Lonchura striata: one gene and its partner. The protein of the gene in region 1 purifies or fractionates together with the protein of each later gene. This does not show direct contact. Links are inferred from orthologs where the notes say so. Each region holds a gene or a part of one and is shown on either strand. Other genes may lie near its edges.

Evidence for each region. Proteins that work in one complex are often made in the same cells at the same time.
Region 2: the proteins of CMTR1 (region 1) and DHX15 purify together in Homo sapiens (co-immunoprecipitation; 3 studies listed by BioGRID and IntAct, with this or other methods). This does not show direct contact. The link is inferred for Lonchura striata from reciprocal best matches to the Homo sapiens genes CMTR1 and DHX15.

The regions. Positions count from the first base shown.
Region 1 is NC_134605.1:29,906,906-29,914,341, forward strand, and holds the start of CMTR1 (cap-specific mRNA (nucleoside-2'-O-)-methyltransferase 1), read right to left. Parts: upstream 3,004-7,436; 5' UTR 2,864-3,003; intron 1,125-2,863; exon of another isoform or gene 1,108-1,124; 5' UTR 1,093-1,107; coding exon 963-1,092; intron 1-962. Other genes in the region: E3 ubiquitin-protein ligase RNF8, read right to left, coding at 7,435-7,436. UniProt on the Homo sapiens protein: S-adenosyl-L-methionine-dependent methyltransferase that mediates mRNA cap1 2'-O-ribose methylation to the 5'-cap structure of mRNAs.
Region 2 is NC_134606.1:18,206,926-18,214,629, forward strand, and holds the start of DHX15 (ATP-dependent RNA helicase DHX15), read right to left. Parts: upstream 3,030-7,704; 5' UTR 2,865-3,029; coding exon 2,797-2,864; intron 1-2,796.

The DNA of each region.
Region 1 (7,436 bases):
AATCAGTTTGAATTTTTTAGCTCAGCCCTGAGTGCACAGAGCATTCCCTACCTCAGCTCTCACATTCTGCACCTCTGACCTCCTCAGACAGGTACACACACACTATACCCTGCAACTACAGCTACTCCCACACACTCACTTCCATTTTCACAAGGGAAGGCTTTATGTGTTCAGGCACTTGAACACTTCATGACCATGAGCAATCCTAAAACTGACATAGCAGGCATGACAGTGAGGCAATGTGAAGGACCATCTTGGGAAAGTTCAGTGTCCCACAACACCCATACCAATTGTGCAGGTCATATGCCTCATCTGTGGTACATCCCAACTCCAGGTGAGAAAGCACACTCCAAGAAAAAGTAGGCAATTAGTTAATTCTGAAATAGATCTTTCTGACAACAAACACCTGTGAGCTTTCACAACTCTGTCCCCTGGCAAAATCACACTGAGCCAGCATAAGAGATGGTCCTACAAAATAAAAGCTCCAACCAACTGGTCCCTTTGTAGTCATCTCAGTTTCTCCCATCTGCAGAAATATGGTAAGACTACTGACTTCTTTCTTCCTTTTTCAACAAAATTATGATTATAATGCTTCTTTATGGTGTAATACCAACAACACCTCAGTACTGAGTTTCCAAACCAGAAATAACTGCTGAGACTGAAAAGATCAGTATGACAAGAATGATTAGAGCTTTGGATCATGCATGTCATCTACCTCAAATCCAGTTTTCTACATCTAAACTCATATAATTCCCAGATTAAAAGGTTTATGTAAGATTTATAAAAAGCCTAAAATAATTCACACCAATCCAATGTTATGAAAATAAATAATGTAGCTTTTTTCCTAAAAAGAGTATATCCTTGAAATTCAGGCTATCAATTAGGATTCAGGAGATGCAGGTTCTATTCCTGGTTATTATTTATATCCCCTGCAGCAGCACATTCCAGATCTCCAACTTTACCTTGAGTAGTATGATTACTAAATTGATTTTCATCATCTGAAGTAGAACTGAGGGTTAATCCCAAGTCTTCTCTGCTCTTCTTCTGCTTATTTTGGGGGCTGCTAAATTCCGGTTCAGTCCTTCTCTTCATGGTTTCCTGTATGAGCTGTAAATAATACGAAAAGAAGAAGAAGATCACACTTGGCAAACATTAAGCATTACTTTCTGTAATGCACAGTAGCATGGTAGCACAGATCATGTTATGCTGTTCAGTATTAGTATCAGTATTATTCTCAACATAAATGTCTTTAGGTTAAACTCTTAGCTTCTTTTGAATTCGTTTTTGTAAACACCTAGTTTAACTAATCAAATGGGAAACTGATATAGAAATTTCCCTATAACTGATGAATTTCAAATCACTTCTGCAAACCTACTTATCCCCAAATGCAAGTAGATCAAGTTACCCAGATGTAGACTGTTAAATAACTTAAATATATGGCAGTTCATTACTACTACTGAATCGAAGATTCATTTTATCCAAACACACTGAAAAAATGTCAGGTCCATCTAATGGAGAATATTCAATGTGGAACCAATTCCTCACAAGACTTCAAACAACTCTGACCTCACCTCTGCAAATCTTAATAAAGGAGCTTTTCTGCATGGCTTTTAAAACAGAACTTTGTTAAATATGCGTGCTCAAGTTGTGCATGCAGTTGTGTTTTTCACCAGGAATCACTGGCAAAATATCCAGTTTCTGGATGTGGCTAATAAATTTGCACAAACTCAGAGAAAGGTCTAATGCTTAAGATGGAGTTAATAGAAGCCAGCTTGGAAGGCTTGCAGAAGACAAGAAGCAAGGAAAGGGAAAAAGGGAAAAATTTAAAGGCAAAAATGCTTAGCAGACCAGCTAAAACCTCCCTGCAACTGAAAAAAAAAAAAAAAAAAAAGAAACTGTACCTTGATTAGTGTTTCTTATACGACATAGAAATAGAATTGTTGGGCTATAAGATACCCCAGGTCACCAGTTCAAACCTTTAGTTATCAAACTTATTTCCACAAACACATACAAGGCAGCTTAAGGCTAAATCCTTTCTTTATCCCCACAACTCTGACTGCAAAATGATCCCACAACCTCACTGCACTATGGCTAAGAAATCTTCTCCCTTCCACCAGAAGTTATATTACAGACAACTAACCTTTACCTGCTCTTGCCTCAGTTGAGGGTTTTGGTTTTTTACTCTTTATCTCTAATAAACCATCCATTTTATATTTCTTCTGAGAGAGCCAAATGAGACCAACACTCTTAGCTCACTCTTACCAGCCCCCTATCAAGACGCCCCACCCTCCAAACTCCACTAAGGGTCCCTCAGCACACTTGACTTCCTGACAAATTTCAAACCATGCAAATTTAGGGGCAAGTTAGGGACACCCGGTCCCTCAGGAGTCCTGCAGCTGCGAGGAAAAGTTCCTCCACATCCCCACCCATGCCCTACAGCCCCCTTGTACCGCACCACCGGCTGCTCACAGAATCATTTTGGTTGGAAAAGACCTCTGAGGTCATCGAAACCAAACCATGAGTGAATACCACCCTGGGAACTAGACAAGGGCACTACGTGCCACATCCAGTCTTTCCTTGAACACCTCCAGAGATGGTGACTCCACCACTTCCCTGGGCTATCCACTCCAACGTCTCATCACCTCTTCTGCAGAGAAATTCCTCCTGATGTCCAGTCTAAATCTCCCCTGGCACAGCCTGAGGCTGTGTCCTCTTGTCCTGGTTGCCTGGCAGAAGGGGACAATCCCTCCTGGCTACACCCTCCTCTCGAGGGTTGTAGAGAGCCATAAGGTCTCCCCTGAGCCTAATCTTCTCCAGGCTAAACACCCCCAGGTCCCTCAGCCCGTATCCTCACAGTACTTACCCTGCAAACCCTTCCCCAGCTTCGCTGCCCTTCCCGGCCTCACGCCGTCACGCCGCCCGCCGCGCAGCCCCCGGTGGCAGAGGCCGAGCCGAGACCTGCCCGCAGGCGGAGGGCGGGCAGCGGGGAGACGGCCGGAGCCGCCGGCGGCCGCGCCCCGCGCTGACCCGCACACGGCCGGGGTCGGCGGACAGCGCCGTGCTGGAGCGGGCGGCACTCACGGCGAAAGCGGGGCAGGCGGCGGGCTCCGAAGGGCTCGGGCTCCGAAGGGCTCGGGCTCCGAAGGGCTTTCGTTTCCCCGCTCCGACGCGGCGCCGGCCCCGCCCCCGGCCCGCCCCTCGCGCGGGGCCTCGTTGGCCGCCGGCGCGCGGCAGTGACGCACCGCCCGCGGGCCCGCTCCCTTCGGCGGGTCCCGGGCAGCCCCGCCCGCGCGGAAAACGCTGCTTAATAATTTGTAAATACACGGATATACAAATGTTTATCGACCGTGTAGCGTAGCGGAAGGTAGGAGTGTTTTTAGGCTGGAGAAGAGGAGGCTCAGGGGTGACCTTATCGCTCTCTACAACCCCCAGAAGGAGTCGTAGCCAAGCGGGGATCGGCCTCTTTCCCCCAGCAAGCACTGCCAGGACGAGGGCACAACCTCAGGCTACGCAGGGGAGGTTCAGGTTGGACAGCTGGAGGAATTCCTCCCCAGAAAGGGCGATTCGACATTGGAATGTGCTACCCGGGGGGGTGGTGGAGTCACCATCCCCGGAGGTGTTAAGGAAAGCCTGGAAGTGGCACTCCCATTGTCTAGTTCCCATGGTGGCGTTCAGTCATGGGCCGGACTCGATGACCTCAGAGGTCTTTTCCAGCCTGATCCTGGGAGCCGTCTTGTACTTTGCATTAAGCTCGAACCCTGGGGAAATACAGCTCAGCACACAAGTCTGAATGCTTAGTCTCACAAAACCAAAGCAAACACGGTAGGTATCGAGAGAAGGAAGGATCCTGCTTGAGAAGTATAGCTCATGGTTATGTAGTTGCTGTTAACTGTATGTCTAATAGGTTGAGTTATGGCAGGACAGGAAGATGAGGAGGAGGAAGTAAAACATTGACTAGTCAGAGCATATCTTTGGAAAAGAAAACCTGCACTTCAACTTGGGGGAAGGGGGGCACAGCTGGATTATTGAATTGCCTGTTACACATTCTGCAGTTAAATTTGACAGTTGTTGCTAAAGCTCTGGAGCAGGATGCTTGCCTGGAATGGGAAAAACAACTCAAACAATGACTATGGGAAAAGCTATCTATGGTAAATGAAGAAGGGGTCATCATGCTGCTTTTGATACACAGTAATGCTGAAGCCAGTATGACTCATCAGTCCCGAAATTAAACATCCTGATAGTGAGATGAAGATGTGATAGGACAGACCTGGTAAAATACCCAGAACCAGTAAGTGATACTATGGATAATTTATCTAAAGTTGCTGAGCTGACACAGCTAGCCTGGAGACCTATGACTGACAGTAACTTTATACCGTCAAAGCCCAGTCCCTAATTTTAAGGGCATGGTCTTTTAATATACCCCTTTCTTGAAGTGTATGTGTGGAGATTTCTCCCTTGACTGGGGATGCTGCTCAAGGTTACTCCTCATGACTGAGCAAAAGAAATTAGTCCACAGTCATGGATGAATAACATTATCTCAACTTAATTGGGTTTTCTTCCCCAGTTTTAATACAATTGCTTTAAAACAACTGCTTCAGTATTTCATCATAGTGCACTGTAAGAGCTGTTCCACCTCCTATACTTTGTGGTAAATAATTCTGATAAAGATCTTTTGTCCAATCATTATCAAAATAAATCATACATATTTATATATCTGGTTTGGCATCCTTAAATCCTTCAGGACAAAGTTGTATAAAGGTTCATTTTCACCTATATAATCCTTTCGACACGAACCACTGACAGTCTGGGGCTAAGAATGGATCCAGCCACATCCAGGCTCCTCTGAGAAGGATTTTAGAAAGCAAGGGGGCCCTGTCTTCACCTCGTGACTCAATGGGAGGGCTTCTTTAATAATTAAACTTTGTCTGAAGCTCCCACTCTGCCTGTGACAGGCTCACCACACATGGTATATTTTTCTTGCACAAGATTGTCAGATTGGCCTTGGACTCCACAGATCCCTCAGTGGAGGTCCCTCAGTGGAGTAAACATCCCTCAGTGATGGTCTCCTTTTCATTGCACTCCTTCCCAGCTCTTCCACTGATGCTGACAATGTATTGCCCTGAAAGTGTCTGATTATCACACTACCTGACAGCTGTCTTCCAAGGGAAAACAGCAAGTCTTGAACCTGCCCAGCATCGTCTGTGACTAGCTCAGTTGTAACCTGACATCTGGAAGCACTTGATGCCATCCTAAAACAGGCAACAGTTCAGGGCATAACATCACCAAGGGCTCAACAAAGTAGAACCAAGTAGACAACAAGTAGAAAAAAGCATCCAGACCTTAGAGCAAAGGAGAGCACACTGCAGATATACAGGTCTGCTTTTGTCAGTGAAAAGCTTTTTTAAGTGGGCAATATTAATACTTAATCCCTCTCTGTGGACATTTACACACTGTGCACCTACCAGTAAAAGTGAAAACAATTTGGAATACACCACTTACATTCTTTGCATTCTAGTGAAGACACACTCAGAAACCAAACCAAAGATTGCCACACCAGGGGAAGTATTATCCTTCTCTGCAATATGCATAAACACCAACATAATAAAATAAATATGTATTTTGCAAAATGAAATGAGACAAAAAGCATAGTATGGAAGAGATACCGAGCCGAAGAATTCGCAGTCCTATGTAATCAGAGTATTTTCCTTCTATTCCTCTTCATTGGAAATGCCTGTTCCACATCAGCCTATTTCATTAGCATTTTGAGGAATGCTCTTCTCTTGCTCATTCTAGGAAGCATCTATTCACAAAAGAAACTCTCAAGAACACACACAGAAAGTGAACATTAAAAGAGAAAGAAGAATACAGAATATATAATGTCTCCACAAAAGAAACCTTACACTAAAGTTTTAAGCAAGCTGCCTGGCCCACTGATCAGGACCCGCCTGTTTAAATCCTATTGACCAAATATGTCAGAATACACTGGTTCCTTAGGACATCATTCATGCACCTTTTTATTGGGATCTTTCTCGGGGAAAGCAGGTAAGAGCTAGCTATTGTAGCTTTTAAATTAGCATTAGGGTAGTCACAGTCTTGAAGGATTGGGCTTTGATCAGCTCCTGAATACAAACATTGTTCAATTAACTTTACAGTAGTCACACTGCATACAGCAATCAAAACATGAAGTCATTAAATTAGATAGTCTGTTTTCTCAAAAAAGTCTAAAGACAACTAGAAGACATCTCAGTGGCTGCACCAAAAAAGACTAATGCAGAAATGGATTTACATTTTTGTTCTTAAACAAAGTAAAGATAGAAACAAAAAGGTATATACAAAGAGCCAAAGAAATATTACAGATGAAAAGGGCTTCCCCATCCTGTTCTCACAGTGTAAATGTCCTTTCCATGTAACAACTAAGTCAAAAGCATAAGCCACTAGAAAATGGAACTCAATAGACAAATACATGATAGGATAAGGCAAGACTTGATTGGTCTCTTATGAACGAGTGATTTGCCATGAGGGTAGCACAATCCATAATCTCAAGTTATGTCTTGTAAACAATAAAATGAAAGTGCTTAATTCTGTACCTTGTGGTTGTCTACAGATGCTGCTTTCCTACCCTGACAACAGGACATTTCAGTAATTTGGAGAGAAGCACACCTGAAGATACAGAGGTTCTTCTGCTGCTCATTATATGTTTTTAAAGTCATTGCTAAAAATTTGTGGATGTGCTGTTTCCCAGTTCTAAAACCCTTTATGTAAAAACCTGAAGAGGGAACAAACCAAAGACACTACATAAAAAGAACACTAGCTAAAGATTTCTGGAAGATTTAATCTCCTTTATCCCTATCTAATGGAAAATGGGCTACATAAACAGAGCAAGCTGATGGCCAGCAGCTAGTTTACAATGCACTTGGAGCCAACAGTGTCCATATCCCACCCTTTATCACCTTTAATGCCAAAGGCTGGGATGACTAGTTGCCACATGAAATTCAAGAGGAAAACCCACAATGGCACTTTTTCCCGATATACCTATCTCCTGCCTGCTGGTGGGGGTGGCCAAGTTCTCAAAAGGCTTGGGACATTCCCTCTGCTGCCTGAAATAAGAGATGCTGATGTAAACATGTAATTCATTAAGGAAAGGACAATGATGCAATACAAACTCATTCATTACATTGAGCAGCTCACAAGCTAATGTGAAACCTTAGCATTTGTAAGTCAATTAGCCAGCACAAAGGCAGTTAGTTCTCTCACAAACCTAATTTTGTTTTAGAGATCAAGCTTCTGTGCATTCATTTGGAAAACAAGATCCTTCTTCCAAATACTGCTAGTTTACAGCTCCAGTCTCTTCACAGGTGCCCAGTCCACTCCTCCAACCAAATACCATTAGGTTGATTTTAGGCAGCACGGGCACTGAGTCTGCAGTAACAATGTTC
Region 2 (7,704 bases), on another chromosome or scaffold:
CTATTACATTTTAGCTGCTTTTTCATTATTGCTCAGAGAAAACAGAACTCAAACACAAAAAATTACACTAAAGTAATGATTTAATCACATTTGTCTTGCACCTGAAACGCGTAACAGCCTTCATGATCAGAAGGGGGCTGGGATTTTTTGCTCTGCTTTTAAGTGAAAAAGTCTGGTCTGCTATTTGCTTTCACTTCCTTACATTCACACACATATAACATATATGAACACAAAATAAGCACTATAGCAACCACTAAATAAGCATGCTTTTTTTGATTAGAAATCATATAAAAATAAAAAGGGAAACAAAGGACTCAAGGTAAACCACTGATCATCACAGTGAAGGCTTAAACCAGTCTAAGAAATCATAATTCCTCCCCATTATTAAACAGCAATATTTGATGCAAAAAAGGCAATAAGCTAAAGGAATTTCTGTTCTATACAGAAATCAACCAAATACAATTAGTCTGAATGATACATCCCATTAGATCACTCTGATGTTACACAACTCAAATATATTTAAAAATAAATTAGCATATTTTAAAATAGTATGTATGTAATTCACAGAAATGCTGTAACCAAGTCTTCCATACAACTTTTATTTTTCAAAATGTTTTTTACTTCACAGACAATACTTCAATTCTGGAAGAAAACAGATGTCATGCAGATGTTTAAGGTTGCACCAGTTACAAACATGTCGGCCAAGCAGAGCCCATGTGGCACTGCTGCCAATGTGCAGCAACCCATACTAACATAGGCCTCCATTAAAGAGGAACTAAAAAATACAGGTTCACTTGAAGTAACTTTCATATTTGTCAGGTAGTCCAGTTAGGATGCAAGACACTATTGTTCTGAATGCGAAGTGGTAATCACGCAAGGAGCTCATCCAGCTTAATCCAGCTCCAGAACCACCTACACTGCGGAAAGGCAACCTCGGCACAGAGGAAGACAGGTACACACAGGCTTTTAACAAGGCTCCACACATCCTCCTTACGGCCTTGCATAAGCTGCAAAACCGAACTACTCTAAAATAAACCAGCCATGTAACATTAGTATGACTCATCCTACGTGAATTAAGATTGCAAGTCATCTAAGAAATAATCATGGCATGTTCAGTAATTATGCTTATAGTGAGTTTTTCTCAGTCCTATACCATTTCATGCTTTTACCTGCAGAGGGCAGGACAAAGAAGGGGCACAAGACCAACATTTCTACAGTTTTTAGGTGCCATAAAGGTCAATGTCTTCTAGTTTAACACTGGTGGGAACTCACTGCAGTACATACAAAATGGTAGCACCAAGAGCACAGAATAGCATTCATGATAAGTAAAAACAATGACAAACAAGGCCACACCAAAACTACAAAATCCACCAACATACAAACAAGGAAATATTGACCCATGATTATCGCTACAGCCAGCTGTAACAGTTGTACCACAGAAAAACTGTACATGTACATTTCTGTACACTCAGAGGAACTATTTCAAACTCTGGGAAATCCTACAAAAATGCATTAACTAACACAAATAGCTCAATATATTTTATAAAACGTGATTATGATGATCCTACAGACAGAAAGTAAAAGTAGAATAACAAAGACTTATTTTGTTTAGCTGAGAAAAATGAATCAAACTCTAGGGGCTAAAAACTGAAGCTGTACAAGCTTACCTTAAAAAAGGCAAGTTTTGCAAAGACTGTTTGTCAGTGACTATTAACTGCTACATTCGACTTATTTAACCTGTGAAAACTGAAATTTTTTTTTCTTACATAACTAGTCCAAAACAACGCTGATGGACTTAAACAAGTGTTTAATTCACGGAAGCTTGCTGTGCTCCATAAAGAAGGCCAGACTAGATAAACACTGCATTTTTTTGTACTCCTTAAAACTTCAGAAATTTACTTTCAAGAGCTGACTGCCCTTCCTCCCCCTCCTGCCCAACTAGAGAGGAAAAGATAATGTGTAAAGAAAGCTCTAAATCAACGCTGAATTTAAGAACAGCACCAGTGCATTGTCTGTGTTCCTGCAATTACATTAACCTCAACAAAAATATGCTCGAGTACAGCCCTAAAACTTCAACCCCGCAAAACTAAGAGAAAAATAAACAATTCCTTGCCCCCTAACTCAAAACCCACCTCACCATCGATTCTTACTTCAGGGCAAGCACATCACCGAGGGTGACTGGGTGAAAAGACGTTAACAAAGGAACAAGGCTCCCACCAGAGTAGGCACTAATAACACGGGCTGCACAACCCTCGTGCTCACCTCTAGGCCCACGCTCGCCAGACCTTTCAAGCCAGAGAATAAGTAAACAAACACAAAGGAAGGAGGACAAGGAGTGGAAAAGGCGAATATAAGTACGAAGGCGAAGAGCTGCAAACAAAGCGTGCGCGGGGGCGCGGGCCCCGCAGCGGGCGCCCAGCCCAGCCCCCTGCCCCGGCGGCCGGGCCGGCGCCTCCCTCCCCTCCCTCCCCTCCCCCTGCCGGCGCCGCCGCGCGAGGCCCCGCCGCCGCTGTCGCCGCCGCCGCCGCCATCCGCCCCCCGAAGGGCCCGCCCGGCGGGGCGGCCGTTCCGAGCCAGGCCCCGCGCTCGGGGAGCCGCCAGACTTCGGGGCCTGCTCGGCCGAGGCGCCGTCGCTGCGGCCTCTCCCTGCCTCGCAAGGCGGCCGCCCCGCGTCCCGGGGAGCTGCAGCCCCGGAGGGGCGGCCGGAGCCGGGGATGGGGCGCGGATGGCGCGGGAGCCGCCGCGATCCCCCCCACCCGCCCCGCCGCAGGCCGCGCCGCCCGCGCCACCCCTCACCCGTCGGTGGTGCGTTTCTTGCTGGAGCTGTAATCGTCGCCCAGATCGAGGCGGTGGCGCTTGGACATGGCGATGGCGGTCGGTGTGGCTGGCGGGCGGTCGGTCCGGGTGCGGCGGGCGGGTGCTCTGCGCTCCCTCCCCGAGCGGCGGCACGGCGAGGCACGGCCGACAAAATGGCGGCCGGAAGGAAGCGCCGGGACCGCGCGAGGCGCTGGCGCGCGGGCCCGTTGGCCAAAGCCTCTCCTGGGCGCGAGCCCGACGGCCCCGCCCCGCGGCTGAGGGCGGGCCGGGACAGCGCCCGTCAGGGGATCCCTGAGCCACAGCGGCACCCGGGCTGGAAATGGCCCTTCAGATCCTCCAGCGCAGCCGCCCAACCCAGCACTGCCACTGTAACCACTGTGTCACATCGCTCAGCGCCAGAGCCGAGCACCTCTTGAACACCTCTGGGGATGGTAGTTCCACCACCCTCCTGGGCAGCTTATTCCAGTTCCTGAGCACACTAACACGGAAAGATTTTTTTAAACATCTAATTCGAATCTTCCTTGTCTCAGCTTCAGTCGATTTCCTTTGGCCGTCTCGCTGCAGGCATAGCAGAAGAGACAGATCCCACCTGGCTCCTGTAGGGAGCCATGAGGTTCCCGCTGAGCCGCCTCCAGGCAGAACAGCCCCAGCTCCCTGAGCCCATCCTCATCAGACATGGTTTCTAGACCTTTCACAAGCTTTCTGCCCTTCTCTGATCATACTCCAGCACCTCACACAGTACTTGAGGTGCAGCCTCACCAGTGCTTGCTCCCTGTCCCTCTTCACAGCCCTGCTCGAGGTTACAACCTCTGCTGAGCCCCTTGAATGAGCACTCGCTCCTGCTGCCCGACTGTTGGAGCCAGGGTGCGTTCACATACGCAGCTAACAAACATGAACGTAGTCAGGAAACATCACCTAGCAGCAGTGACCTGTTCCACAAGTGCAGACAGCTCGCCGAGTGGGGTTTCGTCCAGAGATTCCAGTTACAAAGATTTGTTGCAATTACTTTAATATATTTATTAGAGCATTTAATGTAGACAAATCCATAGGTTATTTTCTTTGATAGAAGATCATTTCTCTCCCTAGTTTTAGATAACAGAACAAAATGGCCTACACAGCTCTACTGGAGCTCTAGATGTTAGTGTAATAAAAATAAGATTTTTCTGCTTAGAGTTATAAACCAAAATAAATATTCCTGGAAACTGGAGTTTGAACTTTTCCTGTGAAGCTGGGAGTAATTTTTTAAAGTTATACAACAAAAAATACTATAATATCCATGTCAGTGGTTTCTAGAGGATAAACACTACAGGGTAATTCTCTCTATCCCAAATATCAAGCTTACTCGTTATGCTATGGTATTCTATACAGAGCTGCATTGGCTGAATGCAGCTAAGGGAAGACTTCCCACACATCTTTCCAAGTGAGTTTTAAATTATATCTATCTTAAACAAAAGCAAGTGTACATTGAAATAGAGTACTTGAATAGGACACATTTAAGAGGGGAAAAAATCATGGCTAGGTCTCCCTGGAAAGTGGGAAGAATGAGAAGAATATAAAAGCATTACATGCATTAGCTGGGATGAGAAGCTAGTGCTGGGAGGTTCTGAGAAGGCTGCAAGGGTACAACAATGTGAGCATGGAGAACTCTGCAGCTCTGTTTCAGATCTTTATTTCTCCTTCCTGCGCACACCAGCATAAATCTATTTATGGTCTTGCTCTAGATTACCCTATGGCAAATATCAGGGAATTTTCTGCTTTAGGAGGTAAGAAAAAAGCAGATGTCTCGGCTGGTATGAAATCTGAGGCTACAGCTCAGCAATAAATGCAGAAAAGAGGGGAAGAAGATTGTGTGCTAGTTGGGGTGAGCAACTACTTGTGTGCTATGCCCTAGGCATGTCCCACAAACCCGTTCACTCTGTTAGCAGTTGTTAACTTCACAAACTTCTGAACTCATCCTCCACACAACCGTGCTTTGAGCTATCTGACTGCCTAATAACTCATCTGGTCCCACCCCAAAGGGTTTACAACATAAGAACTTCTTCCTGAAAGCACACACATGCCTTATTTTGCTAATGCAAATAATCCTTTTTAACTTCAAAGGGATTAACAAGGAAGGAGTAGCAAAATTAAGCATGTAGGTAAGTGTTTGCAGGATCATTGCCTAAATATAAGATGAGACAAGAGGAAAAAAAGACTGGTAAGCACAAATTGATATAATGGCAAAGTGATAAGCATTACGTCAAAAGCCTAAAGGATGAAAGGGATATGTAAAATAGGGCACATTTAAGCATATTTTCTGCCTTTTCAAAGGCATTTGTTAAGAAAGAGGTTTTTATTTCCCCCCACAAGGTCTTTTACATCCATCTATAAAAGTAAAATTCTTGGGTTACTAAAACAGAACACATTTGTATGAGCTTGCAGTTGACTATCCAGTCTTCTACACTCTGTTTCTTATTGCAGCATGATGGGAAGTGCATGTTGGAGACCAAGAAGACATGCACTCAAATGGTCCTTGAGACAAACAGCCTCGAGTTTATTCCCACAGCTTCTTTATAGGAGCTCCAATTTCCCCACTTTACGCATGTGATTCATTGAGGTCTTAGCACCATCCTGCTCTCTGGCCAATGATACATCTGCATTTAGGGCTGAGTGACATTGCCTGAAGGTCCCTGTGTAGATTTGAATCCAACCTATCCTTGCCCACCCAAGGACTGTAATGCTACATCTTACCCTACTTTTAAAATCACTGGTATCAAAATCCTCTTAGCCAGCTTTCAGTGAATATTTCTTTACATTTGACATGGAGGTATTTTTATGCTATTGGGGTTGAAAGGACCATTAACACTTAAAACTGAAACAATAGCTTAGGGGAATAACATCATGTCTATTTTTTTCCTGATTGTGCGTTGCCTTCTCTCTTAAAGAATAAGTGTGGGTCTCAAACCAGCTGTAATTCAGAGACCCTGGGACCCTCACCTGGGTGGTGTGAGGTTTCTGACAAGTCTAGTGTCATAGTGTTACAGTTTAGGCTATTATTGCCTGAGGCTAATTGCTTCACCCCTTTCTAGAGATTACCGAGTTTGTAAAACACATGAGATCTATCCAGTCTAGCTTCTTAGTCAAAACTCACCTTCACTGGCTTAAGCTATAACAGGGGATGGTGAAGTGAAACCACAAACCTCTTTTGTAATGGAAGCCATAATACTGAGCAGTGTGTTAAGACAGACAGCTAAGAAAGGTTAAATCTTCTAAAAGTTGTGTGTTAGAGCCCTAAAACCTGTGTAGTATGTATTTCTTTTATGATATGGCTAGCAGAGGACCCTAAGCTACAGCCTTTATATGCTCCCAATGCCATGGACACACTTGTACTGCCACTTTTTTAAAAAAATAATTTCCTTTCTAAAAATGCATTTAACTCCTATTTTTTAATAGGTATACAAAACATTATATGAAAAATTTCCTGCAAATTAATTAAAATATTAAAATTAAATTCTTACTATAATTGCAATAGCTGCTTAAAAATTTTATGTATATATATATATAAAAATGGGTAATACCCTTGGAAAATTATCCAGGAGTCTTAAATGCAAATGTGACAAGCTCTCATTCTATCCTCCCCCACCAAGCCCATGTGAATAAATGGATATTATCCTCATGTTCTATCATATCATCAGGGAAAGAATCCTTGAGACAAGAACCCACAATCAGAGCATGTTTAAAAAGTCAGACTTCCACATCATTCAAATTAAAAATATGAAGATGAATACATGAACTGATCTCAATTTCTGCAGTGAAGAAAAGAGGCAGCATCTCTGTAATTACAGAGGCTAAACTTTGCAACACTTCAAGTATATATAAATCAGGACTTTGAATTGCTCTGGGAAGTATGCTTTAGGAAGACAGCATGGCAACAGCACTATTGCCATAACAGCAAACTTTATCAGCCATACAGGCACACTTCTAAATTTTGTGAATGGTTATTAAATATTATCCCATATAGAACATACTACTGTGACTGCATCTGCAGGTCAGAAAGGTCTGAATAGCTTCAGTAAAGTTTTATAAAGAAGAAGAAAAAGATAGAGAGGAAGAGAGAGACTGCAGCTTTTGTATCTATTAGAACATTAACCAGAGTAAAAAAAATCACTTTTTAAAACAAATCCCATTCTGTATAAGGAAACATATTGTAGACAATCAGCTGCTATTCTGAGCCCCTCAGACACCTGTTAAGGCCTTATGATCACTTTTAATCCCCTCAGAGAAACCCTGCAAGTGTAGGTATTCATTATGTGCTTTGAATAGAAATCAAAGAAATAGTGTAAAACCAAATCATCACCCCCAAGTAAATTAAATTATATGTCTAATTTATATGAGTTACACAGAATTCCCACATTGTTCTCCTAACTTCCAGATCTTCATGGTTAAAATGTCATTGTTTAATGCCTTCTGCATTCGGAAACATCTGAAACTAAAGGCTAATATGTTGCATGTGGAGGCAGTTTATCTTTTAAATTCCTTAAAATCTAACTGCTTTCTATGCCAAGTCTGAAATCATGTGAGAAGATCCCTAAATATAAGGTGTTTTTAGGAAGTAGTAGCTATTTCACAAAGAACTGTTTAAAGCCACAGAAGATCACAATTTCAAGAATGTTGTTTAATCTTGTACTAGAATATTAGAAGAAAAACCAATGCAAGTTTTTCAGTTGGCACTTCTTTTGATTCTTTCATGAATTTTCTTTACAAATTTTCCACATCAGCAGAAGGGAAAATGTCTATATTAGTATACATTTTTTGTTCCATTTGTGTTGAGTATAATGATCTCTGTCTTATTCACTCTTGCATTAGCTCCTTAAGACTATTTTTTCAAAAGTTCTGTCTTTAATACAA